Linked DNA regions of Sus scrofa. The protein of the gene in region 1 interacts with the protein of each later gene in a pairwise test. Links are inferred from orthologs where the notes say so. Each region holds a gene or a part of one and is shown in the gene's direction. Other genes may lie near its edges.

Region 1 (3,838 bases):
CAGAGCGACCGCACCACCATCAGCCGCGCGCTCACGCAGAACCGCAAACTCAAGGAGCAGCTGGCTGAGCTGCAGAACGGATTCGTCAGGCTGGTGAGCAGCCCTCCCCAGCCCGCCGGTCCCCCTCCCTGGCCAGGTCCTTTGGGGCGGGGGCGAGACCTTTCATCCTTCTGGGTCTTTGTTTCCCCACCTGTGAAATGGGTGGTATGGCCCTTGAGTGAAATGGGGCCCACGAAGGCCACCTGTGAGCCAGAGGGCCCTGCGCAGAGGGGGCTGGGGAGGGGCAGGGCTTACCCGCCTGCTGCCGCTGGTCCCTGAGCCGGGCTCCAGCTTAGTTGATTGCTCCTCTCTGTGCAGTCCAACGAGAACATGGAGATTACCAGCGCGCTGCATTCGGAGCAGCATGTCAAGAAGGAGCTGGCCAAGAAGCTGGGCCAGCTGCAGGAGAACCTGGGAGAGCTGAAGGAGACGGTAACCCCTACCCCAGCCGGAAGGGCTCCGAGATGGGCAGCAGCCTCCGGGGAGGGTGGGGCCGGGGCCAGAGCCAGGCCAGGTGACCCCAGAGTCCTTCAGAGCCTGTGACTGCCTCTTGCCCCCCCTGGCCTCTGGCTTGCGGAGTTGAGTAGCCCTGGGCCTTAGGTCATCATCCCCACTAGAGGCATTGAGCCCCGAATTAGAGGCGAGGAGAAGGTGTACGGTTGCTAGCTGCTTGGGGTCAGCCCTCACATCTCTGAGCCTCAGTTTCCTTAACTTAAAAGGAGGTCAGGGAGTTCCCTGGCGGCCTAGCAGTTAAGGACCTGTCATTGGCACTTCTGTGGTGTGGGTTACTGCTGTGGCTTGGGTTCGATCCCTGGCCCAGGAACTTCTGTGTGCCTCAGGCATAGCTAAAAGAAGGTTAGTGTTTTCCTCATAGAGGTGTTGAGGGGTAAACGAGAATCCCGCATGTAAAGTGTTGGGCATGCAGTGTGTACTTCGCCGATGTTGGCTGCTGCTCTCTGCTGTTCCACCAGCCTGTGGCCTGAAGTTCAGATGGAAAGAAGCTTGTGATGAGGGTGAGGCTGGGTGAAGGTGGCAGTCACTTAGGCCCTGGAGCAAGGAAGCCAGGGACCTGGGCAGCCAGCAGAGCCCCGACTTCCGCAGGCTACGGGCCCAGAATCCGGAAGCAAGCCACCACCTGCCCTCACTCCCAGGGTCTTCCCACAGGTGGAGGTCAAGAGCCAAGAGGCGCAGGATCTGCAGCAGCAGCGAGACCAGTACCTGGGCCACCTACAGCAGTATGTGGCCGCCTACCAGCAGCTGGCCGCCGAGAAGGAGCTGCTGCACAAGCAGATGGTACTGCAGACCCAGCTCGTGGACCAGCTGCAGCACGAGGACATGCAGGGCAGGATGGCGGTGGAGACAGCCCGGCAAGAGTTACAGGAGGCCCAGGTCAGGGACTTGGAGTGCTGGGCCGCGAGGCAGGGAGGCCTGCACTCCATGTTGCTCACTCTCTTTCCTGGCCTCGTAGGGGCGCCTGGAAGCTGCCAACCAGCATAACCAGCAGCTACAGGCCCAGCTGACCCTCATGGCTGTGCCTGGGGAAGGCAAGTGGCATGGCCCGGGGAGGGGGTGGGGGGCGTGGAAGCAGCCGAGAACTGAGTTAGAGGAGGCCTTTACAACAACGGATCCTTTCCCTCTGGCGACGGCTGGCCCAGGGCTGCACTGAGAGGTGGGAGGCAGAGCTGGGCCCCGAGCTTTCCTCCCGGCCTGCTCCATCTCTCTGGCCGGATTGTCTGAGGACCCTCTGGCTGCCCCCCTCCAGGAACTGAGCTGGACATTGAGGACGAGGACAAGGCCGGGGAAGCTCCCCGGCCAAAGCTGAGTGTGCCAGAGGAGCTGGATAGCCGAGAGGCCGTGGTGAGCTGAGCTCCCCTTCCTTGCCCATCTCACCCCCGCTTTCGTCTTGTACCTGCTCTTCTTCGTTTCCCTCCCTCTGACTCCTCTGGACCCCGAACTCCCTTGGGAGCCACTGTCATAGTCTCCCTGCTGGTCCTGAGTGCCCCTCCCAACGCACGGAGTTCCCTGGTGGCCTAGTGGTTAAGTATCCGACCTTGTCACTGTCTGGCGAGGCTTACATCCCTGGCCCAGGAACTTCTATGTGCCATGAGCATGGCCCCCCCAAAAAAACACATGCACACCTTTTGCCTGCAGGTGGAATTTTTTAACTCGGCCTTAGCCAGTGCCGAGGAAGAGCAGGCACGACTCCGAAGGGAGCTGAAGGAGCAGAAGCTTCGCTGCCAGCGCCTGGCTCACCTGGTAGCTCCAGCCCAAGATGGGGTGGAGAAGGAGGCCCCAGCCCCCGGGACCGAGGGGGACAGTGTGTCAGCCCCCGGGACCGGGGGGGACAGTGTGCCTGTGGAGACCCACCAGGCCCTCCAGGTGGCCATGGACAAGCTGCAGGTGAGCAAGTCGCCCCCACCGGGGGCCGGGAGGGGAGGAGCCTGCGGGCAGGTCGCTGCTGAGCCCCAACCCTACCATTCTGGCCACAGGGCCGCTTTACTGAACTCATGCAAGAGAAAGTGGATCTGAAGGAGCGGGTAGAGGAACTGGAACATCGCTGCATCCAGCTGTCCGGAGAGACAGACACTATCGGTGAGCCGGGAGCCCGGGGCCCGGGGTGGCGGTGGGGGTCGGGGGAGCCGTGCTGGACCATCCGAGCCCTGCCGCCCGCCCGCTCCCTGCAGGAGAGTACATTGCTCTCTATCAGAGCCAGAGGGCGGTGCTGAAGGAGCGGCACCGCGAGAAGGAGGAGTACATTAGCCGGCTGGCTCAGGACAAAGAGGAAATGAAGGTAGGGGTCCCGACCATCTCTGCAGAGGGGCGGGCAGGGCCAGGGCCAGGGCCAGGGCCGGGGTGGGGTTGCTGAGCGCCTGTCCCTCCAGGTGAAGCTGCTGGAGCTCCAGGAGCTGGTGTTACACCTGGTGGGCGAGCGCAATGAATGGCAAGGCAAATTCCTGGCTGCCCAGAACCCTGCTGGGGAGCCCACCGTGGCGCCCCCAGCCCCCCAGGAGCTTGGCGCTGCTGAGAACCAGGGTGGTGAGTAGCAGCCTCGGGGAGGGCGGGTGGCCGGGCGGGCCAGGGAGAGCTGGCACACCACTCCCCAGCCTGCCCCTCCCTCTCCCAAGGTCTCCTGGAGGTGAGCCTCTCGGACAATGTGGAGCCCACCCAAGGGGAGGCCCTGCTGGGCCAGACCCTCACCGAGAACCCCACCGCGCAGCAGATCATGCAGCTGCTGCGCGAGATCCAGAACCCCCAGGAGCGCCTGGGCTTGGGCAGCAACCCCTGCATCCCCTTTTTCTACCGGGCTGACGACAACGACGAGGTGAAGATCATGGTGGTCTAAGTGCCTGAGGCTGGCAGGCAAAGACCGGAGAACTGGGGCCGGGGGCTCTGCCCCCACCCGTCCCCGCCACCCTGTCCCTCCTCCCTGCCCTCCTTCCCAGTCACGTCGTCATCCTAGACTAGCAAGCTAATGCCCCTGGAAAGGGGAACAAGCCCCCCCCTCTAATGGGGGGAGACACATAGGTGCAGACCCCTGGCCGTCTTGGCCAGGGCTGTGTCTTGATCTCTGGACGATTAATAGTTCCAGAAAAACAAAGAGCCAGAGGCTCGGTAAAGACAGTTGATTTAGGAGGCTGCCCTTCTCGGGGAGCAGGGGCTCCCTGGTAGCCTCTTCACCCCCATCAAGCAGTCCTTCATTAAGAGGGGCTTATGCATCCTCTATTCAGAGGCACTTTGGGGCACAAGTGTCCCCCCCTGTCCAGCTAGACAACTGGGCAGCACTCTAATAGGCCTTGGG
Region 2 (4,534 bases), on another chromosome or scaffold:
TTGGCCAATGAGTTGCAATTTTAAATAGGTCAGGAAAAATCTGAGAAAGTGACATCTGATTACAGACCAGGTGAGAAAGATATCGATGTCACTGCTCCTCTGAGATCCCCTTCTTCCCTTCTCCACCATCTTTGTGCCACCCATTTCCCACTAGCATGCTTTGTTCCTAGCACCCAGGAATGAATACATATGTATGTGTGTGGGGGGAGGGTGTATTTTTTTTTCTTTTTTCTTTTTTTCCTTTTGCTGTGCCTGTGGTGTGCAAAGCTTTCTGGGTGACAATGCCAGGTCCTTAACCACTAGGCCACCAGGGAACTCCAATGCCTTTATATTTTAAAAAAGCAACTTCGTGTACATTACCACAAGCACCACTCAGGCTGCCCGTCATCCTTTGATGATTTCTTTTTCAGTCTTTCCCTTCAATATGCTTTTCAATTTCACTCATCTCTAATCATGAGTATAAAAATATTGGAGGTGGAAGAACTAGACAGAGAGTCACTCGTTCTCTGGCTTGGCAGACTTCTAGAGTTGCCCTAGTCTCTGATGGCACACTCAGGATGGCGGATGGCGGCTAAGGGTAGCAGAGGAATTCACGCAGTCACTCTAAACGTCAACAGTGTTTTCGGGTAATTTCAGATCCTTCTCCCTCCACTGTGGCCTGCAACATCGGCCAAGTGTTTATATATCCAAGGAAAGGCTACTATCCATTCAGTAAACCAACTTATTTATGATTTAGTAGAAAGAGCCCTGGTCTAGGCCAGAATCTGCCTCCATAACGTGTTTACTGATCATCTGACAATGAGTCAAGCTCCTCCTGGGTACTGGCGATGCCAAGATGATCAAGACTGAACCTTTGCTTTGGAGGCTCTCCTGTTAAACGGAAGATGACAAAGACGGTCTGATACAATGTATCAGGTAAAGTCTATAATAATGCTACCAAAGAACCTTGGGAGTTAGAGGAAGGATTAAGGGTGGAGAAGAGAGCTTCCGAAGGGCATCACAAACAGAATTTGAGCTGGATCCAGAAGGTCACTTGCATTTAAGCTAAAAAGTGAAAACCATCGTTCCCAGGGGAGGGAACCGAATGAGCCAAGGCGCCTTGGGACAGGGACCCTTGCCAAGAGCTGCAAGGGTACACAACCTGGGGCAAGAGGATTAACATTTCCGGGCCTTGGATCAGAAACCTGTGCCAGTCACACCAGGCTCGCGCTTGGGAGACCTAGAAAAGTGCCACGGTGCTTTCGCCAAGCTCCTGCCCGGCCTTTAAGGCAGGCAGCCCTGGGAGGCGCGCGGGACAACGCAAACTCGGCGAACCGGGCGCTCCACGCCTCCATCCCCGACTTGTTGACGTATACACTCCGGCTCCCACAGAAACAGGAACGAAGACCGGAAGAAAGAAAGAAAAAAAAGAAAAGAAAAAAAAAAGCCCGCGGAGGCGGGAGCGTGCGCAGCCCCAGCCTCGCCCGGGTGGCGCGCGGCCCGCGCGGCCACAGTGGTTCCGGGGCTCGCGGCCGGGCGCGCTTCCCGCCGCCTTCCGGCCCCGCGCGGGGAAGCCGAGGCCGCGCTCCCACCTCCCCTCGGCGCAGCCTCGCACCTCCCGCCGCGTCACCGGTTGCCGCTCCAGCTCCTCACCGCCCGGGGTCCGGGCCTGCCCCGCGGTCGGGCCACCTCCGCCCTCTCCGCCGTGACGAATCGGCGCCGGCTGGCAAATGCCCAAATTCGGGGAGTTTTGAGGAACACATGGAGCCTGAAAAAAATCCTTGACTGTACTAAGCACCACCGCGCCCCCTCGAGAAGGTTTATTTTTCTAAAGAGAGTCTGGTGGGGCTTGGAAAGGAATTCAGAAGAGTGTTGAAAGTGCGAGTGCGGAAGCTCCGGACGCGAGGGGCGGGGCGTGCGCGGGACAAAGGGAAGCGAGGCCGGAGCTGCGGGCGCTTTTTCTGCCCGCGGGTGAGTGTTCCCGACTGGGCCGGACTGGGTTGGGAGGGTGCCGAGGCGTGGTGTCCTGGCTTGGCCGGACCCGGAGTTCCCCGGGGTTGCTGGGGTTCAGGCTCGGCCGCGGGGCCGGAGCCAGGGGCCAGTTGCGGCCTCTCCGAGGCCTAGCGGAGCGAGGGTGGGGAAGCAGTCCCATCTGGGGCTCCTTCTTAGCGGCCAGATGCGCCCCTTCCACTAACCCCGCGAAATTGATCAAAGCACCCCTGCCCACTCCTCTTTAGTAGAGTTGCTGCTCAAGTGCATCCTTCACAACAAACCTAAAGGATACGACCTCAGAGGAAGCCCTTGGGGCAAGCCAAGCCCGTGCTCCTCACCCCCAGGAAGGTTGTTTCCCCTTGCTTCAGGCAGCGAGCTGAGGACTCACGATGTGGTTCGGAAACAGACTGGCCTGGGTTTGAAACCCAACTCTGGCGCTTTTTGGCGGTGTGTTTTTGGACAGGTTACTTAAACTCGCTGAGACTCCCTTTTTTTCCTCTGTAAAATGGGAATACACACATCTCGTTGGTAGTTGTGACTGTGAAACCAGATGGTGTAAGTAATAAGCCTGTCCCGGTGTAAGGTATTCAAATATTTATCTAGGGTTTTATGCCAGGCGCCGGATCCAGGGATGGATCCGGTGGTGGACAAATGTACAAGTTCACTCATGGAGTTTAGAGTCTAGCAAAGGAGATCAGTAATTTTAAAGTATTAACAATCAAGTGTGATGTACCAGGGAGTCTGTGGCAGTTATTGTCAGGGCTCCCCACAGCAAGGCCTACTGGACGTTGACAGCCTACCTGAAAGTGAGCAGGGAGGAAATCTGCACCTGACTCAGTAGTTTCCTGCCTGTTCCTTAAGGAGAGAGGGAGATTCCCAGGTCGGGCCATTGAGAAACACCTTTTTTTTTTTTTTTTTTTTTTTCCACACCATGCCTCTTATTCATAATGCTTCAGGAATTCCCTTCAAATGCAAAATAGAAGCAAAAAACTAAAATCATGTTTGTTTCACATAATGTTGGATGAAAGTACTCCAATAGCCATACAAGTTGTTTGCCTTTAAAAAAAAAAAAATGACATGTCTTTGTAGGCACCGTGTGTGATATGTTTTGAGGTAAGGAAGATGCTCGTGTGTGCACGGTCACGCAGTGGGCTGGTAATACCAAGACAAAATTCCTCAAGGATTGAGGCGGGTCCTGGGACTACAATAATGAATTCGATGGTCCCTGTTTCCAGTCTAGCCGTGTGAACAGGTTTAATAGGATACCATAGAGCTGTGTAAATTGGGTAGGAGTGCAGATGAGGAAGCAATTCATTCTGCACGAGTGATTTGTCAGGAAAGCTCCATTGAGGAAGCTACATTTTGAAACGGGCTGAAAGGTTTAATAAAGAGTTTTTTCAGGGAGACTCTCAAAATGTATTCCCAGCAGTTATAAAGCTATTTATCACCGTAAGAGAATGTAAAGTTCATGACCACACCAATTGCCTTTTGCACTGCCTCCCGGAATAAAATATGGCTCCATTTTAATAGAAGTTGTTGTCCCAAAAGGAAGGCAGAGCTGCGGCTGATCTGGTAGGCCTTGTTGAGGTAGGCCCCGATAATACATCACATTCTATTGTCACTATATTTTTATCAATCTGGTTAAGTATTGCCATGGCATCGGCAAATTGTTTTCAATACAAGAGGTGGCTCGGTATCCCAAAAAAAAAAAAACAAAACCTTTTGAGTACATGCCTAATATTACTTTTTAATATCCCCAGTAATTTGTTTTAGTCATTTAATTCTGATCAACCAAATGACCTAAAGGCTAGTAAAAATTTTAAAAAGCTTGATTACTAGAAGATAATGTAATTTTACTAAGAAATACCAATTAAACTACCCTTTTCTTTAGGGAAAAATTCTCTCTTCTGCTTACCGAGTTTTGATTATCTTTTTTTTTCTTTTTTTTTCTTTTTTTTATTTTAGTGTCTCAGATTCATTCTTAAGGAACTGAGAACTTAATCTTCCAAAATGTCAAGTAAGTTTCATTTTTTATATTTATCAATCTATATTAATAAGAGACTAATGCCCTAGCAAATGGGAATTCCAAAATACTCTCATTTTTTTTCTTCAAAACAGGACCATTGGTAGTTTTGTTGCATAGTATTATATCTCAGTTGTTTACAAGAAGTTATTTATTTTCTTTCAAACAGAAAGACCATCTTATGCCCCACCTCCCACCCCAGCTCCTGCAACAGTAAGTTTTAATTTTCTTGTTAATGTAATAGCCAAGTCTGGCCTTGATACAAAAACCCAGATGTCTTCCAGTGACAGTCACTCAGTCATCACAGCAACAGGATGAAAAATTCAGCTAAAAAAAAAAAAACAGCGCTTCCTATTAAATAGAATAACTCTGCATCTTACCTCGAACCAGCCCCAATGTTTAAAGAAACATACTGCTGAAATGCCAACCTCCTATGCTCAGTTCTTTTTTTAATTGGGAATAGGTGACAAGTTTAGCACTTCTTTCTTATTAATCTCTTAAGAGTCTTGAAAGTTAATATGAAATGAATGCTCATTCTGG
Region 3 (4,555 bases), on another chromosome or scaffold:
TATATATGTGGGTCCAGAAAATAAAACTGAGCCTATGTCTTTTAAAAAAAAAAAAAAACATGTTAAGCAGCTTACCCCAGTGGGGATCTTACCAGACATCTCCCCATTTGGTCACTTCTGAGGGAACTCCAATCCTGAGGGAACAGTTAGTAATTGGGAATTGAGTGTTTATAAAATGGGGATAGAAGGTGTAACTGGTGGATCCTGGCCATCCCTCTGTGAGGAGACTTTTGCTTTGCTACAGGGATGGGGGTCTTATTTTATCCCTGCAATCTGAAGCTGCTTCCTTTTCTTAAGTCTTTTATTTTGCTTTTGTAAAGTATTACAAATTCTGGACATGTTTGTAAAGTAATTGCTCAAGATTTGTATAAAATGTTGTTTACAGATCTTTTAATAAACAAAAAATTCCGTGGATCTCTTGGGAGAATCTTAAATGGCTTAAGTTGTAGATTTTTTACTTCAGTTAAATCTATATAGCTAGCACACTTAATTAATGGTAGGTTAAAAGATAATCCTAGGTTCAAGCTTAATAACCGTGGCCGACATTTCCAGGCTCTTGGCAAAGTCTGGGTCGATATTTGCACACCGGACACGGTATAGAGTCCTACCTACCTTATTTAGTCTTCCCCTGCTTAATCAAAGGGAGCTGGAAATAGGTACTGGCAGTATCACGAGTGTTAGGATGCAATGAGAAAGATTGTCCTGTTACCAGAAGCCCTAAAAGCAAAATGATTGGATTTTATACACGTCCTGAAGGCAAAAATCAGTTTTTTAAAAGATGAGGTTAGTGGGCAGTTACCAATCTCGCCCCGGGGGAAGATCAGGTTCCTTTTGTTAGGCACACTCCAGACTCCAAAGCTTCGCAGTTTTCACTGGAGTCTAACGCCCACTTCTAGAGTCTGCGAGAGCTGCACTTATTCCACTTATTCGGTGCAAAGATTCTCAAGGGACGGAGAACAATAGTGCAGATAGAGCAAGGAAGTGAAAAGGGAGAGTAGTTTAACCGAAGACTGGAAGGTTAGGGGAATAAAGCCGAGGTGGGAAACCAGGATCCTTCTCTTCGCTAAATCTTGCAGCGAGTTCCCTCAAAAGTTTTATTAAAGGGTTTCCCCTCCCTCAAAAGTTTTATTAAAGGGTTTCCCCTCCCAGATATCAGCGAGCCGGAGGAAACCAAAAGTCCCAACTCTTCCACTTGGCTGCCAATCGGAGGCAAAAAAGCGCAGCAGGTGGGGACAGGAAATTGAGACGTTCCTGCAGACTCCGGAGCCACACAACATGACGTCACGTCCGACCAAAACAAGAAGGCTGGACAATTTCTAGTTAGCACGCCCTCGGAATTAACTGAGCATGCGCCAAAAGCTATTACGCAAGCGACGTGCTTAGGACAGTGTCGGCGCTGACGATAGACGTGATTACATGTTCGACGTGATTACGTAGGTGTCGGACGTCGGCAACGTGATTATGTTAATATCGGGTGCAGGCCTATTTAAGCGAGCCTGAGCCCGCGCAGACTCAGAGAAGTCAGGCGAGCCCAAGAATGGCGGGCACCGGTTTGGTGGCTGGAGAGGTTGTTGTAGACGCGCTGCCGTATTTTGACCAGGGTTATGAAGCGCCTGGTGTGCGGGAAGCGGTAAGTTCCGGGTGTCTGTGTGACTGACTCAGCGCTCGCGGACACTTCGGGCTGGAAGACTGACCTAACGATGTGCTCCTCTTATTTTGGCCTCTGTTCTCTTTCTTAGGCCGCGGCGTTGGTAGAGGAGGAAACTCGCAGGTACCGACCTACCAAGAACTACTTGAGCTACCTGACAGCCCCAGATTATTCCGCTTTTGAAGTGAGTGTGATATTTTGAGTCCACGTTATAAACCAGGATCCTGTGAATCTTTGTTTTGGATTGAGAGCCTTAGCCACACAAAAGTGAATTTCAGATTCCAGCTTTAACTGTTACTTGCCTAGCCACAGCTTACTCATTGGTATAGGTAGTGTCAGTCAATTGAAAATAGCTGCATGGATAAACTGTCTCCCGGGTTCTTATTCTTAGAGCCACAGAAGGACTTTCTAGGGCTTCGCGAACTGATCTAACAATGCAAAAACGAATGTTAACGTTTTTCCGAGGTAGGTTCACTGCGTAAATTCTCAAAGGGATCCTTTTCTCTTTAAGGTCTACTGCAAAACAAGTGATCTAGGGTTTTTTAAATACACAAAAGCCTAGTTACCTAAGCTTCTGAGAACCACTGGAGGGCGGTCTTTGAACCAAAGTTTAAGTATTTTCTGAATCTGTGAGAATGACTGAAGAGACAAACCGTATCTAAGTAATGCACCCTTTAAATATTTAGAAGTGCATCTGTAATACTATTTAGGGTCTAATCAGCTAAATGAAATGTAAAATATTTCTAAATTAATGGATTCTGTTAGGCATTTTAGTATATACATGTTCCGTTTTTCCCCATATCTGGTAACCATTTATTTACAAAAGAAATCTCTTATAAAAAGCAGTATTTCTATTGAAGTAACATGAAAAAAATATATCGGTTAAGTTTTAAGTAGGAGAGAGATGTTCCTATGGCATCCTGTTTTCCCATGCTTTTTCTAAATGTCACCCAAATGTAGATGTTACAGTATTAAGAACTATGCACAGGAGTTCTTGTCCTGGCTCACGTGGTTAACGAACCTGACTAGTATCCATGAGGGCTTGGGTTCGATCCCTGGCCATGCTCTGTGGGTTAAGGATCCAGTGTTGCCGTAAGCTGTGATGTAGGTCACAGAGGCCACTGGGTCTGCGTTGCTGTGGCATAGGCTGGCAGCTACAGCTCTGATTCAACCCCTAGCCTGGGAACTTCAGCATGCCAAGGCTGTGGCCCTAAAATGACAAAAAAACAAAACAAAAAAAAAACTAGGTACAGTAATAATAAGTCCTTATTAGCCTGATTTCTGAAAATTTCAGATAACTTCATTCAATCACAAACTTTTAAACACTTGAACAGGTTTTCTTTTTTGGTCTCTTGAGTAGAACCTATACTTCTATCTTTATAATTAGTATAGTGATTCTTAATAGTAGGAGCTAATAGTGTACTGAGCTCACTATCTCAGTCCTAAAAGCAGTCCTGTGAATTGTAAACTGTATGTTTTTTATACCAGTTTTTTGGATAGGAAAAGTGCAGCTTACTAACTTCCCCATGATCTTCAAACTGCCTTTGAAGCTGCTCTTTCATTAATTCATTTAACAACTATTTCTGACATTCTTTTTAAGTTATTGGGGAACAGGAGTTTACATTCTAGAGTGTAGAGACGGATCAGAAATTATTAGATTATTGGTAAAGCTACATGGAGAATTAAAGTAATGATGTGATACAGAGTGACTGGGTGACTACTTTAGATAGGATGGTTGAGGAAGGCCTATGTAATCTGAGATGATACTCCATGAGCAGGGATCCTTTTTGTCTTCTTCACTGTATTTTCATCCCTTAGGACAGTGTCTGGCACACAATAGGCACCCAAATATTTGTCAGTTGAATGTATGAAGAGCTCCTAAGGCATTCTGATTTAACGAATGCTTACCATGTGCCATTCATGCCTGGACTTCTTATATGACAGCCCTGTGAGTGTTGGCTCAGTCTTTGGAGAGAGTTGAGTTAAAATTCCAGATCTCTCACTTATTGGCCATGTGAGTTAGGTAAGGGCTTCTATGTTACGTGGCTCAAGGTTGTGTGTGCTGTATTTTTGTAGTTTCTCTCACCTCATTAGTAGTGTTTACTCTTTATCTGTCACTGTGCATAGCCTTCTAGCTAGAATGCCTTAGTGTCTGCAGGAAACAAAATAACCACATTTTCTTAGAGGTGTGTGCAGCTCAGCAGTATTCCAAAAAAAAAAAAAAAAAAAAAAAAAAAAAGGCTTTCTCCAACAAGACATACTTAATGCAGAACTTTTAAACAAGGAATGTGGGCTTCTGGAAGTCCTTTTTAGCTTACTCTTTAGTCTAAACGGAATAGAATGTTGACCAAAACATTGGCCTGAAGAGGTAGAGCTATACCACATTTTTTTTTTAATAGTAAAATTGTTGGAGCAAACAGCAGAACCAGTTCCTTTTGTCCCTTCTTCTAGTCTCCATTCTTTTTTTTCTTTTTAGGTCCTGCACCCACAGCATATGGAAGTTCCCAGGCTAGGGGTCGAATCAGAGCTACAGCTGCCGGCCTACACCACAGCCACAGCAATGCGAGATCCAAGCTACATCTGCGACCTACACCACAGCTTACGGCAACACTGGATCCTTAACCCACTGAGCAAGGCCAGGGATCTACCAGCATCCTCATGGATACTACTCAGGTTCATTACTGCTGAGCCACAATGGGAACTCTCTCTCCATTCTTTCCAAAGAGTAAAGTGTAAAAAGAGCAGCAAGGATCAAAAAGGAAGTGTAAATTTAGGCTCATAGCTCTAAAGCAAATTATGTATGTCCAGGCCATCTTCTTTCTCCCCTGCCCCCAGTGAATCCTTAGAGCCGTGGTTCTCAGCACAGCCTTCACTTTACAGACAACTGGTGAGTTTTTAAAAAAAGTT
Region 4 (4,395 bases), on another chromosome or scaffold:
TTGAATGAATCCAGAAATTTTCTGTGATATAAAACTGCAGTTTTTACACAACTAAGTATGCATACTCTAATAACATTCATACCGTTCAGCAGCTTGCTTTTTAAGGCCTTTTTAAAGCTTTGATATCTTTCTGTAAGTGATGTCATTCTTTCAAATTAACCTTTATTTGCTGAATTTTTTTTTTTTTGGTTTTGTTATGCTTTCATACATTCTATAATTGCTACACTGTACAATGACTTTTTTTTCCACTGAGCAGCATATATCCTTGCTAAGACCAGATACTGCTTTTGAGTGCTTTATATAGATTATTAACTCATTTAATCTTTATATCAAAGGTATTTACGATATGTATTATCTCTTAAACTCATTTCACAGATGGAGAAGCTGAAGTGCAGAGGTTAAGTAATTTGTTCAAGGTAATAGCAAATGGTAGAGCTAGGCTTTGAACCCAAAGCAATCTGACTCCTGAATGCTCTTAACCTACAGCATCCTACCTCTGTAATTTGTCATAGACGTGTTCCTCTGCGTTTCATGTCACTGAGCCTCATTCTTTTCAGCGGTTACGTAAGTGCCTGTGCTATAGATGAACTGTAAGTGAACTCTTCCCTGTTGGTGTTTTGACTCCCATGTTTGTCTCCAGCCCTAGGTCTCCAACCACCTCCTTGGTGTGTCCCACATGTGCCAGACTTAAGTTTAAACTGACTCAAAACTGAGTTCCTCATCTTCCCACCTGCACCTTCCCCCTTGTCCCCATCTGAATGGCAATGCCAACACCTACCAGTCACCCAGGATGGAGACAGGAGCCAGACTGTGAGGGAATAAGTGAAGTAAAGTAGATTCTAAAGGAAGTGGAAGGTGTCTAGGTAAGTAGCATAGGGAAAGAGACTTACACAAAACTAAAAGGAGGTGGGCTAGCTTTGGGCATGTGGAAGGAACAGGTGGGAAGAGGGAGGGTGGAGAAGCCAAATTTAGGCTTCTGGGTTCTTAGCTGTTCATCACCAAGGTAACTGGGTTGCTATGGTAACAGCAAAGGCAGCGTGCCTTTTCCAAGAACCTCCTCTGCGGCGGTTACCCTCACACCAGCCAGGCACTTCCACGTGGGGGCGCCGGCTGGGGGTAGGCTTAAGAAGGCGGGAATTGCTGCGGCATTGGCCAATCGAATGGGCTCTGCAGCGAAGGACGCAAAGGCGGGGTCGAAACTTCTTTGAAGTTCGCCAAAGGGCGTTATTAGGCGGGCTCAGGTCCTTTTCCCACCACTTAGGGGCCGAGGAAAGGGGGAGGGCGGGGCTTGGGTGAGGCCCTCAAGAAGGCCCAGCCCTGGTGAAATATGTGAAGCTCCGCCTATTCCTTCTTCTGCTCAATAGGAAGCCAGAGAGTCAATCCGGACAGTTAGGGTTCCCAATGAGTGTCGTCGCCATGCCCCGGGGCGTGACGGGGCCAGCCAATCGGCGGCGGTGGTGGGCGGGCACGGGCGGCAGAGGCGGTGCGGCGGAGGTGGAGCGGGCTCTGCCGCAGGAGGGAAGATGGCGGACGAAGAGAAACTGCCACCCGGCTGGGAGAAGCGCATGAGCCGCAGCTCAGGTGCAGCGGGGGTCGGGGCTGGGGCGGGGCCGTGTGGGCCCATGGAAGCAGGGCTCTAGCTTGTCCCTCGGACGCGGGCGGCCGCTCGATTCCCGTGGGGTCTTGGCTCCTTCGCGTTGTCCCTGGGTAACGGCCCCGGCCCTCCCCGGGGCTGCGAGCCTGAGGAGCTGGGAACCCGAGGAAATTGAGGCAAGGGACTGGGTCGGAGAGGCCCGGCGCGCTGCCTGGGTGGTAGGGGGACAGTGTACCCGCGGCGCTCCCCCAGGCAATGGCCTTGGTCCTGCCGATCTTGCTGACATCTTTCAGCCTAATGCACCTGACATCCGGCGGGGGTGGGGGGGGATGTCTTTGCACCCTGCTGGGCCCAAGGGGCACCCCTGGGGAAGGACACCCCAACACCATGCTCAGGGCGTGGCCCCAGGGTGTTGCTTGGCTTCGAATCCTAAACCTCCTGCTAACGTGCCTGCCATCCACACCGAATTCTGAGTTTGCTATAATGTGAGAATTCAGGTTATCTGCCTGAGAATAGTCTCTGTGCTCGGAGCCGATTAGGGCTTTTCCCCCATAATAATGTTAATAATAGGTCTTATCTCAGTGCCAAGTATTGTGCTAAGGGTGTTAAGTGTGTACTCTGGCCACAACTCTGAGAGGTAGGGTAGTTAATAACACCCAGTTTGCCGGTGAGGAAACCGAGGCCAGAAAACTTAAGAAACTCGCCCATAGTCGTTCATTTCAGGGGCTGGGGGCTGGGTTAGATACCAGTCTAACTCCAGAGCCCCCTGCCCTTGTTACTGTAAACCTCTGAGATGCAGGCCCACCATTTCACTCCCCTGCCTCCATAGCTCATAATCATCATGGTCACAGTAATAATTCCAATTTATTGAACGCCAGGAGCTCTGTCGAGCACTTTGCACTCATCATGATGGACTCTCCACATTAACCCCATGAAGTGTTATATCTTTATTCTCTCACCTTGCCCTCACTTTTCAGATGAGTACACTCAGGTTCAGGGAGATGGAACCCATTGCCAAGGTTTTAGAGGCATTGTTTGGCTCAGCTCTGGCCCACCCTGCTTGCAGCCCTGTGGCTGGGACCTGCAGCAAAAAAGCTGATGCTCTTCTCAGTTCTGGGCCTCCACTCCTGCCATTTCTGCTCAGCTCAACCCTGACAGTCTTCCTCCTGGGTGACATCCAGCCCTTCACGGTCTTGGGCAGAAGTCCTCCATATAACCCAGACAAACTCGGCCCCTGGAATGACAGCCTATCTCTACTGGGTCCTACTTTAAGTTTCTTTCTTTTTTTTCCTTAGATAAGAAGTAGATTTATTGATACAGTGTGGGCCGTCTCAGAAGGTGAGAGCAGCCTGGAAGATGCACATTCTTTAGACAGAATATTATCTCAAAAGGCCAGAGAGTGGCCTCAGGTTTCTTGTTTGCAGCCCTCACTCCATGCTCCTTAGTCTCTGGGTAACATCTGGCCCCCAGTAATGCTGGCCCCTAGTTCTGCTGCACAGTGCACTCCAGAGGGGAAAAGAGCAGAGTTTTGGCATCTGGCACACCTGAGTACAGATCCTGCTATCTCCCCCACCACACCCCACCCCCGGCTTTTATGCCTGGAGCAGAGTAAATACCCAGGGAAGGTTGCTTAGTTTTGTGGTCTATAACATGGAGATATTAGTAGCTGCCACAGTCTTTTTTTTTTTTTTTTTTTTTTGTCTTTTTAGGGCCATACCCATGGCATATGGAAGTTCCCTGGCTTGGGGTCAAATTGGAGCTACAGCTGCTAGCCTATGCCACAGCCACAGCAATGCTATATCTGACCCACATTTGTGACCTACACCACAGCTCACGGCACCGCTGGATCCTTAACCCACTGAGCGAGGCCAGGGATCAAGTTCTCATGGATGCTAGTCTGCTTCATTAGCGCTGAGCTATGACGGGAACTCCTCCTACACTCTTAATTAAGTGTGCCAGGTGCTGTCCTAAGTACTTTGCAGATGTGAATTCATACAGTCACTCCTTCAGGCAGGTACTGTCCTTATTTTCATTTTATAGGCGAGAAAACCACGGCCCCGGGAAGGTAGATCACATGTGAGGGTGTGGTGGAGCCACAGATTTGGACCGGCCTTGCTGAATGCATGCTTGGAACCATTCTCTGTCCCTGAGGCTTCCTCTCTTCCTAACCTTCAGTTATTTTCCCCCTTGAACTTTTTTTTTTTTTTTTTTTTTTTTTGGTGGTGAAAGAAAGTGTAGCATTTATTGTAAGGCAGTACAAGTAGTCTGAGACTAGCTAGTGCTCAAAAATCCTGCACTCCCCCCTTGACCTTATTAATGACTGAAGTTGTAAGGTGGTCTCATTTGCTTCTTTGGTGTCTGTGTCCCCAGCTAGAATGCTAGCTCCCTAAGGCCTGGTGGCACTGGGGACTTGCTGAATGAAAGGTAGTTCGTCAGCCAGCCCCTGATCATGGCTTCCCAGTGGTGTCCTGTGAGCAGGTCCCAGCTGAATTCCACTTCCACCTCTTCCAGGCCGGGTGTACTACTTCAATCACATCACTAATGCCAGCCAGTGGGAGCGGCCAAGTGGCAACAGCAGTGGCGGCAGCAAAAATGGACAAGGAGAGCCCACCAGGGTCCGCTGTTCGCATCTGCTGGTCAAGCACAGCCAGTCCCGGCGGCCCTCATCCTGGCGGCAGGAGAAGATCACCCGGACTAAGGAGGAGGCTCTGGAGCTGATCAACGGTAAGCAGGGATGGAGACAGGGCTGGGGGGGTCCCTCTCCCCCCGGGGGCCAGAGCAGGCCTTGTAGGAATCATGCC
Region 5 (2,684 bases), on another chromosome or scaffold:
CGCCCCAGAGAGAGATAGAAGGGGGCGGGGCCCCGGCCGACGCCGGGTGCGGTAGGCCGAGCACCGTTAAGGCAGCCCGGCGCCCGGCCAGCGCCCCGGGAAGCGGCGTCTTGTCCCCGGCCACCGCCCAGCCCTCGCTGGGGCCCTCCTGCTGGCATCTACGCGATCCTACGTGGCTGTCGGACGAGGGAAGGACGGTTAGTCAGGTGAGCCGCTGCAGGGCAGGCAGCTGTGTGGCCACGCCCTGCCGAGGGAGCCGAGCCTGCCGGCTGCTGAGGGGCGAGGTGAACGGGTAGTGCTGGGGAGGAGCGGACCTGCTCTGGCGAGTGTCGCAAGCCCGATCCTTCATGCCCAGGGGCCGGCGGGTCCGCAGGGGGCGGCCTCCGGCCAGCGGACAAAGGGTTAACGCGCCGGCGGTGACCGCGGGCCCCGGATGTGAGAATCGTGGACCTGCGTCCAAGGGCAGCGCCGCAGGTGCGCCGGGACGGGCGGAGCGAGAGGGATGGCGGGGACCCGACCGGCCGAGGCTCCCCCTCCCCTGCAGGGGCCGCTCGGCTCCCTCCGTAGGCGTACTGTTTTCTAACTTGAGGGCAACAGGTGGTGCTTGTGGACCGAGAGAGAGCCTGGCTCCACCGCTCTAGGAGCGGCAGTGACTCGTACCAATTAGGGAGCGGGGGCGGGCGTGGTAGGGACGCGCTGACGCAAGTGACCAATGGGGCTTGGGCTCAGGGGTGGGCCGTGAGGCGTGGGCGTGGTTGGAGCCTGAATCCAGGGTTTCTAGTGCGACAACCGCCAGAGCTGCGGAGAGCGCTAAGCTGGGCGGACGTGGGGTCCTTCTCTGCCCCAGCGTAGCAAAGCCTACCAATGCTTTCTCGTTTGGACCCCGACTCCAATTTGGGAGGTGAGAACATTGTGTTTTACGTAGGGGGTTGGGAGCGGCTTGGGTTAACTGTGACCGTGGGTATGTTGTTAGGCATATGGAATTAGATACTAAAGATCAATCGATTACGTGATGCAAATTTTCTTCCAAAAAAACCACTTCTATGGCTACTGCGACTTGTCCCGCATGCTGGTGACTAGGTTGTCTCCGGAATGAGATCTTTGAGGTCTAAGGACCCCGGGGGGAGTAGAGAAAACTACGTATTACTGCAATTTCAGTGAATGTTAAAGAATTTCAGTGGCATCGATTTTTCTGTCGTCTGCGTCGGATTGCGTACATTTCTTATCTCATTTGGTATGTTTATGGCAACAAGTTTCATTTATCAAGTTCCTCGTGTTGCTTATTTAGCAAGAAGAGAGGAAAACAGTTGTAGTAAATTATTTCACAAGAGTAACTTATTCATTTCCCCCCTCAGCAGCTTGGTAGCTGTATCCCCTAGGAAGAGAACCAAAGCAGTAAGAAGAAAGCATTTGAATTTGGAACACTTCTTTGCAGCTGGAAATGGGGAATGGACTGTCAGACCAGACTTCTATCCTGTCCAGCCTGCCTTCCTTTCAGTCCTTCCACATCGTCATTCTGGGTTTGGACTGTGCTGGAAAGACAACTGTATTGTACAGGCTTCAATTCAATGAGTTTGTAAATACTGTACCTACCAAAGGATTTAACACTGAAAAAATTAAGGTAACTTTGGGAAATTCTAAAACAGTCACTTTTCACTTCTGGGATGTAGGTGGTCAGGAGAAATTAAGGCCACTGTGGAAATCATACACCAGATGCACAGATGGCATTGTGTTTGTTGTGGACTCTGTTGATGTTGAAAGGATGGAAGAAGCCAAAACTGAACTTCATAAAATAACTAGGATATCAGAAAATCAAGGAGTCCCTGTGCTTATAGTAGCTAACAAGCAAGACCTGAGGAACTCATTGTCTCTCTCAGAAATTGAAAAATTATTAGCAATGGGTGAACTAAGCTCCTCAACTCCCTGGCATTTGCAGCCCACCTGTGCAATCATAGGCGATGGACTAAAGGAAGGACTTGAGAAACTACACGATATGATAATTAAAAGAAGAAAAATGTTGCGGCAACAGAAAAAGAAGAGATGAACCACGATACCTTTTCTATTTGTGTGGAGTAGGTTTTCTCCTTCTGATTTTGACAAATGGAAGAGTGTCTACAGCCTGGTTTGCCTGCCTGCCCTCCTGGATGCTGTTAAAGCTTTGTTTTGTTGAACAATCAGATGTCCAAATCTACTGCCTTGTGGAAGATGAGTAAATGCAGTGCTTCTTCAAATGGTCTCTTCTCCCTACCCCACAAGTCTTTTGGTACTACCATTTTGGGAAGCCAAGCAAGGATAGGAAATTGACCAGAAAACAGTTGTGGAAATTTGACCTGAAGTTAGTGAAATAAAACTTTGGAGAGTGTCTGCCTAGTGTTTTGTGCTTATGTCTTATGGGGGGAAGCCTTTGCAAGGAAATTGCATGCTAGGCTTGGTATGTTAAGATAAAATGCTAATGAATGAAAATGTTATGGTAGATTAATATATATATACACACACAGTTATATTGATCACATTGGTCCAACCAGTAAGGGAAAAAGAGGAAGTGTTTGGTTTTTAAGTTTTGGCCAAATGAGTTTTGACATTTTGGGGAATCAAATACTGTAATACTATATCTTGATTCTAGACAGTATTTAAGTAAGTCTAACTTAAAAGAATAAAAATGGTATTTGGGGCGTATTCAAGTG
Region 6 (4,501 bases), on another chromosome or scaffold:
GCTTTGCCACAAGAGAATTTCCCCCAGGTCTTTTGACTGTTACTCTTTTTACTAAATCCCACTGAAGGCTAAAAGTCATTCAACAGGCAGGACCATTCTGTGTGATGGTAAAAGAAAGGTGATAATATTTGAAAAATAGGGTTTGTGTAAAGCTCACTTTGTCTTTCCTCATTCGTTGAAACTCACCCAGATAAGCATTCCTTCACTAATTGAATTTTAACTCTCCCATAAGAAACATGGGCTAAACCATTAAAATTGCCAAAACTCCAGAGGCCACCGAGGATAAACACTTATTCAACGAAATGTTTTACTATTTAAGAAACTCTTTTATACCATGATTGTCAGAGATTTTCAGTTTCAATGTACCTTTCATCAGGCCTCCTGTTTGATGGATTCTTTTTACTTTGCTTTTATTATTATTAACCTCTAGATGCTAGATAACTAGCAATTCTCGTCTGAAGAGGAAAGGCCTGTGTTAAGAATCCAGCAGGAGGAGTTCCCGTCGTTGCACAGTGGTTAACGAATCTGACTAGGAACCATGAGGTTGCGGGTTCGGCCCTGCCCTTGCTCAGTGGGTTAACGATCCCGAGTTGCCCTGAGCTGTGGTGTAGGTTGCAGACGCGGCTCGGATCCCGCGTTGCTGTGGCTCTGGCGTAGGCTGGTGGCTACAGCTCCGATTGGACCCCTAGCCTGGGAACCTCCATATGCCGTGGGAGTGGCCCAAGAAATAGCAAAAAGACTAAAAAAAAAAAAAAAAAAAAAAATCTAGCAGGAGAGCGGGCTGTACTTCAAATCTTGCCGTTCTAAGGTTGTATCTTTTTTTTTTAATTTCAGTAAAATCATGTTTTGTATCTTTTTTTTTTAATTTCAGTAAAATCATGTTTTGCTTTGAACATATATATTTTATATGTATGTGCATTTTAATTCCCACTTATTTAACATGTGTTTTGTAGTGATAATTTCGAATATTCACATTTTTCTTTCCTGTTATTACTTTGACAGTATGTTTTTACAGGACTTGACTACGATTTTCTCTAATGTCTTTACATTAATCTTTGATAGTGAAAGTACTTTGTAGCAAACTAACAGAGAAAAAATATGGGCTTTAGTGTTAGGCAGACGTAGACTTGAATCTTGGCTCTCAAAATTTTGTTGTTGTTGCTGGGCAATGACCCAATTATCCAAACTCTCAAAGCCTGTTTGCATTTGGTTTTTGGTCTGTAATAGGAAAATGTTGATACCTCACAGGCCTGCTGTGGATATTAAATGAAATAAAAAGCAGAGAAAGTAAACTTTAGTACCTTGTAGATGATAAACATGTAAGATGTTTGCTATTCCAGTTTTCAGGTTTAATCTTTATTCATCCCACTAAAAAAGGGGAATAAGGCCACACCCACTTCAAGGGATGCTCCTAGAATTAGAGACCCGACCAGAAAAGCCAGAGCGATTTGCAAACCTTAGCTCGAAACCCATAACAAATGCTTGCATATGCTCACACTGCTGTTCTTTCCTAATATAATATGACCTATCTAATTTTGAACATAACGTACTTTTCATTCTAATAAACCAAAGTCCACATCGCTGCTGCCCTCCCACGGCGTCGCCTAGTCTCTCTCGCGAGACTCCGCCCTCCGGTTTTCCTCTGGGGATGCGGGAGGCGGAATGGCCGCGCTCGCAGTGACGTGTTTATCCTGAGCGTCTGACGTCACTGCCAGGCGCCCTGTAGCACGTTGGCCGGGCCTTCGGCGGGCTTTTCGGGGACCAAGATGTCTATGGCCAGCGATTTCTACCTGCGCTACTACGTAGGACACAAGGGCAAGTTTGGACACGAGTTTCTGGAGTTCGAGTTTCGGCCGGACGGTGAGTTGAGCCGCTCCTGAGCGGTGCTGAGCTGGGGGAAGCGAGGCGGAGAGGCCGCGGAGGAGGCGGTGTGGGGAGGGCGAGCCTCCGCGGGCTTGGCGAGAGTGCGTTGGGGCTGAGGAGCTTAAGAATATCGGAGAGTATATTGGTTTTGTGAGTAAAAGGTAACTAATCGGTGTAAGTTATTTCAGAAAAGTCTATACTGCCAGATACTAAAATGGAACCTACAGTAATCAGAATCCTAGAATCTGCTCACCAGAAGGGACCTTAAAGGCCATCCAATTAATCGACCTAATACTCGAACGTTTTATGAGAACATCCCCGCCACGCGGTGGGCCTGTGGATGCTTAAATCTTGCGGTGAACAGTAACTTTCGAACTACCCATGCGTCCGTTTTATTCATTCATGCGCTGTATGTAAGGCAGCATGAATAGAAAAAAAAAAAATCTGCTGTTCAGAACTGGAAGCGGGACATGTAAAAGAAATGAGTGTAACGATGTATTCTGGGTGCTTAAATATAGTTGTTCCATGTAGCATGCGTTGAAACTCCAAAAACGGGGGAGTGGTTAGTTCTGGATGAAAGAGTCGGGTCATCTTTAGAGAAGGTGACAGTTGAGATGAGTCTCAAAATGAGAGTAGATATTGTCTTGGACGCTGAGGGAAAATAAAGGAGTCGGACTCCTGAGAGCTGCAGGAGCCGGTGAAAGTGCCTGCTGCCCAAGTAATGGCAGCAATTTACATCTTTTGACAGCTCTGATTCTCTTTAGATAGTTGTACTGTATATAGAACTCTTACTGTAACAAGAACAGTCTTGTTAAAAGCGGCATAGGCTTTTCTTTTTAGAGTGCATGTTATGTGCTGGGCAACATGTAAAAACAAAAATTGAGGTTATATTAATGCGTCGGGTTCTTTAATTCCCCTCAAGGAATTAAATCTTGCTGAGTGACACAAACGTGAAACTAATCATAAGGCAGTTCTGATGGTAAGTGCTGTGCTCATGCTTTGGACAAAGTTCTGTGAAAGCGCAAAAGAAAAATTAGGGGAGGATCACATATTAGAAAAATGAGAGAATATCAGATATTTTAGGTAGAAGTCAGGGTAGCTACATCTAATTATTTAGAAACCTTAATTACCTTAGTCTCCCTCATTCTACCCAAGTCTTTTCTAAATTTAGCTAAGGGGCCAGATTTACCTGAATTCTTCATCTGTATTTTTGGGTTTTTTTTGTTTTGTTTTGTTTTGTTTTTGTTTTTTTGTCTTTTTAGGGCCGAACCTGGCGTATGGAGGTTCCCAGGTAGGGGTCTAATCAGAGCCGTAGCCGCTGCCCTATGCCAGAGCCACAGCAACACCAGATCCTGGCCGCGTCTGCAACCTACGCCACAGCTCATGGCAACACGGGATCCTTAACCCACTGAGCAAGGCCAGGGATTGAACCCACAACCTCATGGCTCCTAGTCTGATTTGTTTCTGCTGCACCACGAAGGAAATGCCTTCATCTGTTCTTTATGTGATATTGTTTTCAGGACTTTTGCCTGTGAACAACTATCAGTGTGTCTGTATCACTTTTAGCCAGTCACATAAATTAGGTAGTCTAATATTATCAGGGAAATTTCATTCCAGGACAATAGCTCTCATCTGCCACCCCACCATTCCACATACTTCTGTCAGTAATAATGAGTCCTATAAACAATGATTCCTAAGGGACCTCATCAGGGTAACCTATCATTCTAGAGGATAAAGATCGCAGTACATCTTGGAGTTCCCCTCCTGGCTCAGCAGAATCAAATCTGACTGGTATCCATGTGGGTGCAGGATCAATCCTGGCCTCACTCAATGGGTTAAGGATCTGGCATTGCTGAGGCTGTGGTGTAGGCCAGAGGCTACAGCTCTGATTCGACCCTAGCGTGGGAATTCTGTATGCTGCAGATTCGGTCCTAAATAGACAAAAAAAAAAAAAAGTTAACAGTACACCTGTACCTGGGCAACTGACTGAGGAGAGGCATGCCTCAAGGAGTACACCTAAATTTGTATATATCAGCTAACAAAACGGCCAGTTTTATCCAGAAGCTGCACATAGTTGGTATTCTTCTTTACCATAGTTCTAAAATATTAGCATTGCCATAATACATACACACATTCATTTGAAGGAAAATAATTAAAAGAACAGTGGGGAAAGCATGAGTATTAAGAAGGTATATCTAGATTTGAATCTTGTGTGACCCTGGGCAAGTTATTTAACTCCCTGTTTTCTCAACTGTGAATAAAGAATAAAACCTACTTTTTATTTATTTTTTTTCAGATTAGGTTAAATGCTCTGGGTAAATAACTTAGCAAAAATAAGACATATAAACTTAGAAGAAATATTAGTTCCATTTTCAGATTCCCTGTTGAGATCGTGATATAGATTAAGAAAATGGGCCTTGAAAATGACCCTCCCATTGTATAATTATAATTGAAGGCATGAATTTAAAAAGTTGCCTGGCTTCAACTTAGCCAACATATATCCAGCATTAATCTTATGCTAGGAGGTAGGAAATATTAATACAAGTAATAGTATAAAATGGTTTCTACCTTCAAAATTGCTTATAGTGTCATTATTTTATTTTTTAGCAGTTTTTGCTATTTAGATTGAATTTTTTTC
Region 7 (4,518 bases), on another chromosome or scaffold:
CCTGTCAACCCTCCTCCCTTAGAAGCCCCCAGTATCTGGTCTATACCTGCTGAAGGACTAGATAAATCTTTTTTTTTTTTTTTTGTATTTTTGCCATTTCTTGGGCCACTCCCATGGCATATGGAGATTCCCAGGCTAGGGGTCGAATCGGAGCTGTAGCCGCCAGCCTACACCAGAGACACAGCAACGCGGATCCGAGCCGCATCTGCGACCTACACCACAGCTCACGGCAACGCCGGATCCTTAACCCACTGAGCAAGGGCAGGGACAGAACCCACAACCTCATGGTTCCTAGTTGGATTCGTTAACCACTGAGCCACGATGGGAGCTCCAGGACTGGATAAATCTTTAAGAGAATCAAAGGCAGGCAGTTTCCAGGGCCATGCTGGTGGCTCTGCCTTCACAGATCTTTCCAACTGTGCCAAGTAGACACCAGACCAGTTAGCTGGCTTTTAAGAATCAGAGCCACCTGGAATGGAACATGGCCAGGGCAGCTGTTTACTCTGTCAAGAACTCGCTGTTGGAGTTCCTGTCGTGACTCAGCAGAAACGAATCTGACTGGCATCCTTAGGGACAAAGGTTCGATCCATGGCCTCGATCAGTGGGTTGAGGATCCAGTGTTGTCATGGGCTGTGGTATAGGTTGCAGATCTGGTGTTGCTATGGCTGTGGTTGTGGTGTAGGCTACAGCTCCAATTCGACCCCTACCCTTGCATGGGGACCTCCATATGCCGCAGGTGCAGCCCACAAAAGGAAAAAAAAAAAAAAAATCACGCTGTTTCTCAAACAAGAACTGCCTGTTTTCCAGGGAACATCCCCTGCAGGGGGCTATGCTCTGTCTACCTCCTCACTCTCCAGGTACCTGAGGTTTAAGACACCAGTGGGGCAGCCAATTAGAGGCAGTAGAAGAATCTGGCTGGGCAAGCCTGAGCCCTGCACTCCAGCCTCCGCCTCTGGTTCTCTGAAAACACTCTCTCCCCAGGCTTCAATTTCTGTATCTGTAAATGGGAGTAGGGTTGGTCTAAGAGAGCTTCCTGTCCCTCCCAGAGGCCTCCAGACTGGAAGAAAAGTTTTTCGGATCTGGCTCTTACCAGCCACCCCTTGCAGGCTCCTGCTCACCGCGTCCACACAGCTCTGACAGGTCATCTGCACCGCGAACTCTAACTGCAAAGGTAGCAGGAACGGGTCGATAAGAGCTGGGAAATTCCTTCTTGCGTGATTTTGTTTCACTATCTCCCCTATGACCACCCCCAAAGGCCTGGAGTAACGGCGCCCCACGTGATTCCTCCTCAAGCTCCTTCATTATCACTCACGATCATTTCAGGACCAACACCCACCCCCCAACATTAACGCCAAGGGCTCTGTTGGTCTCACATTCCAGTTTCGAGCTGGGGCCCCAGGCCCCAACCCAGGCGTCCGCTCCTTCCCCCATTCTCAAGTTAACGATCACCCCAGACGCCGAGGCTCTGTGCTCTGCGAGGTCCCCACACGAGGCCTCGACCCTCACCATGCAGGCAGTCTCGCGGTCCCTCGAGTCCGATGCCATCCTGGACCCAGGCACCTGCCGAAGGACCCGTTCTGTCCGGGTCGGCAGGCACCAACCCAGAACAGCGCCGCGGGGAGGCGGAGCCCGGGAAGACGCTCCTCGCCCCGCCTCCTGGTGCGCACGCAAACAAGGCACCGCGCCTCCCCACCCACCACCAGGCTGCGGCGGGCATGGGCCGCGCAGGCGCACTTGGGCATCCGGGCCATCGTTGCCTCAGCAACCGCCAGCTCCGCCTGCCGGGCCCGGGATGCCAGCCCTGAGATGGAGCCCAATAAGCCGGAGCCAGAGCTCCAGAGGTTTTACCACAAGTTGCTGCGTCCGCTGTCGCTCTTCCCCCGCAGGGCGACGCACACAGAGTCTGAGAAGCGCCTCCCGAAGGAGGTCCCCATGCTGCTGCCCCTGCCCTTCTCCCGACTGACCGTGGCGTCCCTCTGCCGCCAGGTAACGGAGCGGCTGGCCAGCAGCGGGCTGGAGGCGCGCGCGCCTGCGAAGGTACGACTCTGTTTCACCCAGGTCATCCTGGACGAGCTAAAATGCAGCTGGCAGGAGCCCCCCGCGGAACCTGGTCTGAGCCACTTGGACAATCAGAGGCTGCGGAAGCGGCTCCTGGTCTACGTGCTGCTCAGCAGCGAGCTGCTCTTCGTACGCTCCCTGCACCTTCAGAAGATGCTGTCGACACCTGCAAGTGTCTTCACTGAATCAGCCACGCTCACCCGGTTGGCCGCCAGCCTCGCCAGGGAATGCACAATCTTCCTCACCAGCCCCGACGTCTACCGTGGGCTGCTCGCTGACTTCCGCGCCCTGTTGAAGGAAGAGCAGGCCCAAGCCCGCAGGTCCAGGCTGCGCCCGGGCGGCTCCCCTGAGGCTTTCAGGCTCTGCCCTATCCCGTGGTATGAGAGCCCTAGCTTTGCCCAAGTGCCGAATTTCAACCTCAGCCTGAACGATCTCATCCAGCTCAGCCGCCCGCGAGAGTCTGTCAGTGAGCCTGAACTGGATCCGGTAAAGGAACTGAAGTCCATTCCCCAGCTGAAGAAGAGGAAGCCTCTCCGCTGGCTGTCCTCCGTGCAGAAGAAGAGAGAAAGCAACTTGGGTTCTCCACAGCCTGCGTCCCTGCCTGCGTGCTCTGCGGCTCCCCCCAGCCGGACTCCCGCCCCCTCCCACTTGCCCCTCTCCTTCCAGCTCCAGAGGGGCCAGTCCTTGCCCTCCCTACGTGAGGGCTGGAAGCTAGCAGATGAGTTGGGTCTTCCTCCGCCCTCTCCTCGACCCTTAACCCCGCTGGTCCTGGTTGCAGAGAGCAAACCTGAGCTGGCAGGGGACACAGTGGCTGAGGACCTGAAGCAGATAATGAGGAACATGGAATTGCATCGGACCCGCTGCTCACTGGTGGACTCAGGCCTGCCCCCGCTCCTGGGGGCCCTGACCTACCGCCCTCGCCCAGGACACCACATGGAAGAGCTGCAGAGAATGTTGAAGGGTCTGGAGGAGAATGAAGCGGCTGGGCAGCGCCCCCCCACGCCCCCTCCACTTGAAGCACAACCGGTGACTGTTACTTTGAAGCTAAGAAATCAGGTGGTCCAGGCAGCCGCTGTACAGGTCTCGGGGCGAAACTTTGTGGATTCCTTCCACGTTGACGGGGCCGGAGTCTTGTACAACCACTTGACTGGCGAGCTGGAACCCAGACTTGTCGAGGAAATGGATGTGGACCTCTCTGTCGGCAGTAGCATCAGGGAGATTTACAAGGAGCTGATGAGCCGTGTCTCCAAAGACCACTTCTCTTTCGACCAGGGGCCCCTGGTGGAGCCTGCAGCCATTCAAGACTGGTCGGCCTTCCTGTCCTCAGCCTTTCTAAATCAAGAAAAACAGCGTCGCAGCATCAACACCGAGCTGGCTGGGCTTTATCCCCAGGGAGCCAACACCTTACAGCACCCCCCGGATAAGATGGCCTCCCTCCTGTCACTGCAAGCAGGAAAGAGCTGGGAGAAGCGGTCCCACGGGGCCTTGTGGATGAACTGGTGGAAAACCGCTTTGTCTGTGGACGACTACTTCAGGTATCTCGCCAACCAGGAGACAGATTTCCTCCATGTCATCTTCCACATGTATGAAGAGGAGGTTCCTGCGGAGCCCGTGACCCCTGTGCAAGAGACCCTAAAGATCCAGCTCCCGCCTCCCTTGCTGGAAGAGGACGAACCAGACTTTGTGCCAGGAGAGTGGGATTGGAACACGGTGCTGGCGCACAGGCTAGGACCTAAGAAGAACAACCTGCTGGAAGACTCTCACAAGATCCTGAGCCTGCAGAAGCGTCTGGAGCGGCTGTGGTCCATGCTTGAGGTCCGCGACAAGGACCGGCTGGACATGGCCGTCAAGTACAGCTCCAACGCCCGTCTCAGGCAGCTGCCGTCCCTGGTGAGTGCCTGGGAGCGGGCCTTGCAGCCCATTCAGCTGCGGGAGATCTTGCTCGGGAGACTGGAGTGGTTTGAGCGACAAGCCTCCGACCCTAACCGCTTCTTCCAAAAGACTGCCACGGGCCTGAGTCGCTTCCTGGAGGAGAGTCAGATCCGCAGCCATCTCCACAGGAAGCTCCGTCTAGTGGAGGCTCCTTTGGTTCCGCTCCTGGAGGAGATCGAGTCAGTCTTTGGTGAGCCAGTGACCTTCAAGGGGCGCCGCTACCTGGACAAGATGAAGCAGGACAAAGTGGAGATGCTCTACTGGCTGCAGCAGTGGCGGCGGCTCCGCCACCTGGTCCGGGCCAGGAGGGCCCCCCACCCACCCACCCTGTCCAGGAAGCTCAGCAGCCAGTCTCTACCAGTCCCTGGGAACACTCCCAATGCCCTTTGACCAGGCCAGGTGCCCTCAGAACCCGCCCTCACCGCCATCCACCCAGCAGCTCATCCGGGGCCTCTTGACGGCTTTGAAAGAAACGCTGTCTGGGAGTGCAGGGTTCTGAAAAACGGTACCTCCAACCACCAAGGGACT

Evidence for each region.
Region 2: the proteins of GOLGA2 (region 1) and SMARCE1 interact in binary tests that used the Homo sapiens proteins (3 or more experiments, as listed by UniProt). The two-hybrid records come from large-scale screens. The link is inferred for Sus scrofa from reciprocal best matches to the Homo sapiens genes GOLGA2 and SMARCE1.
Region 3: the proteins of GOLGA2 (region 1) and BCAS2 interact in binary tests that used the Homo sapiens proteins (3 or more experiments, as listed by UniProt). The two-hybrid records come from large-scale screens. The link is inferred for Sus scrofa from reciprocal best matches to the Homo sapiens genes GOLGA2 and BCAS2.
Region 4: the proteins of GOLGA2 (region 1) and PIN1 interact in binary tests that used the Homo sapiens proteins (3 or more experiments, as listed by UniProt). The two-hybrid records come from large-scale screens. The link is inferred for Sus scrofa from reciprocal best matches to the Homo sapiens genes GOLGA2 and PIN1.
Region 5: the proteins of GOLGA2 (region 1) and ARL4A interact in binary tests that used the Homo sapiens proteins (3 or more experiments, as listed by UniProt). The two-hybrid records come from large-scale screens. The link is inferred for Sus scrofa from reciprocal best matches to the Homo sapiens genes GOLGA2 and ARL4A.
Region 6: the proteins of GOLGA2 (region 1) and MAGOHB interact in binary tests that used the Homo sapiens proteins (3 or more experiments, as listed by UniProt). The two-hybrid records come from large-scale screens. The link is inferred for Sus scrofa from reciprocal best matches to the Homo sapiens genes GOLGA2 and MAGOHB.
Region 7: the proteins of GOLGA2 (region 1) and CCDC87 interact in binary tests that used the Homo sapiens proteins (3 or more experiments, as listed by UniProt). The two-hybrid records come from large-scale screens. The link is inferred for Sus scrofa from reciprocal best matches to the Homo sapiens genes GOLGA2 and CCDC87.

What each region holds. Positions count from the first base shown.
Region 1 is NC_010443.5:268,703,131-268,706,968, reverse strand, and holds part of GOLGA2 (golgin subfamily A member 2), read left to right. Parts: coding exon 1-93; intron 94-357; coding exon 358-471; intron 472-1,203; coding exon 1,204-1,428; intron 1,429-1,507; coding exon 1,508-1,583; intron 1,584-1,801; coding exon 1,802-1,896; intron 1,897-2,190; coding exon 2,191-2,439; intron 2,440-2,528; coding exon 2,529-2,631; intron 2,632-2,723; coding exon 2,724-2,830; intron 2,831-2,921; coding exon 2,922-3,075; intron 3,076-3,164; coding exon 3,165-3,382; 3' UTR 3,383-3,838. UniProt on the Homo sapiens protein: Peripheral membrane component of the cis-Golgi stack that acts as a membrane skeleton that maintains the structure of the Golgi apparatus, and as a vesicle thether that facilitates vesicle fusion to the Golgi membrane.
Region 2 is NC_010454.4:21,782,961-21,787,494, forward strand, and holds the start of SMARCE1 (SWI/SNF-related matrix-associated actin-dependent regulator of chromatin subfamily E member 1), read left to right. Parts: upstream 1-1,449; 5' UTR 1,450-1,950; intron 1,951-3,936; 5' UTR 3,937-3,981; coding exon 3,982-3,988; intron 3,989-4,163; coding exon 4,164-4,207; intron 4,208-4,534. UniProt on the Homo sapiens protein: Involved in transcriptional activation and repression of select genes by chromatin remodeling (alteration of DNA-nucleosome topology).
Region 3 is NC_010446.5:105,991,114-105,995,668, forward strand, and holds the start of BCAS2 (pre-mRNA-splicing factor SPF27), read left to right. Parts: upstream 1-1,444; 5' UTR 1,445-1,537; coding exon 1,538-1,630; intron 1,631-1,739; coding exon 1,740-1,832; intron 1,833-4,555. UniProt on the Homo sapiens protein: Required for pre-mRNA splicing as component of the activated spliceosome. Component of the PRP19-CDC5L complex that forms an integral part of the spliceosome and is required for activating pre-mRNA splicing.
Region 4 is NC_010444.4:68,714,430-68,718,824, forward strand, and holds the start of PIN1 (peptidyl-prolyl cis-trans isomerase NIMA-interacting 1), read left to right. Parts: upstream 1-1,468; 5' UTR 1,469-1,523; coding exon 1,524-1,581; intron 1,582-4,105; coding exon 4,106-4,318; intron 4,319-4,395. UniProt on the Homo sapiens protein: Peptidyl-prolyl cis/trans isomerase (PPIase) that binds to and isomerizes specific phosphorylated Ser/Thr-Pro (pSer/Thr-Pro) motifs.
Region 5 is NC_010451.4:82,225,256-82,227,939, forward strand, and holds ARL4A (ADP-ribosylation factor-like protein 4A), read left to right. Parts: upstream 1-1,441; coding exon 1,442-2,044; downstream 2,045-2,684. UniProt on the Homo sapiens protein: Small GTP-binding protein which cycles between an inactive GDP-bound and an active GTP-bound form, and the rate of cycling is regulated by guanine nucleotide exchange factors (GEF) and GTPase-activating proteins (GAP).
Region 6 is NC_010447.5:61,424,122-61,428,622, forward strand, and holds the start of MAGOHB (protein mago nashi homolog 2), read left to right. Parts: upstream 1-1,577; 5' UTR 1,578-1,766; coding exon 1,767-1,860; intron 1,861-2,785; exon of another isoform or gene 2,786-2,842; intron 2,843-4,501. UniProt on the Homo sapiens protein: Required for pre-mRNA splicing as component of the spliceosome. Plays a redundant role with MAGOH in the exon junction complex and in the nonsense-mediated decay (NMD) pathway.
Region 7 is NC_010444.4:5,831,716-5,836,233, forward strand, and holds the start of CCDC87 (coiled-coil domain-containing protein 87), read left to right. Parts: upstream 1-1,715; 5' UTR 1,716-1,806; coding exon 1,807-4,380; 3' UTR 4,381-4,518. UniProt on the Homo sapiens protein: Plays a role in spermatogenesis, where it is important for normal sperm head morphology. Also required for the acrosome reaction and thus normal male fertility.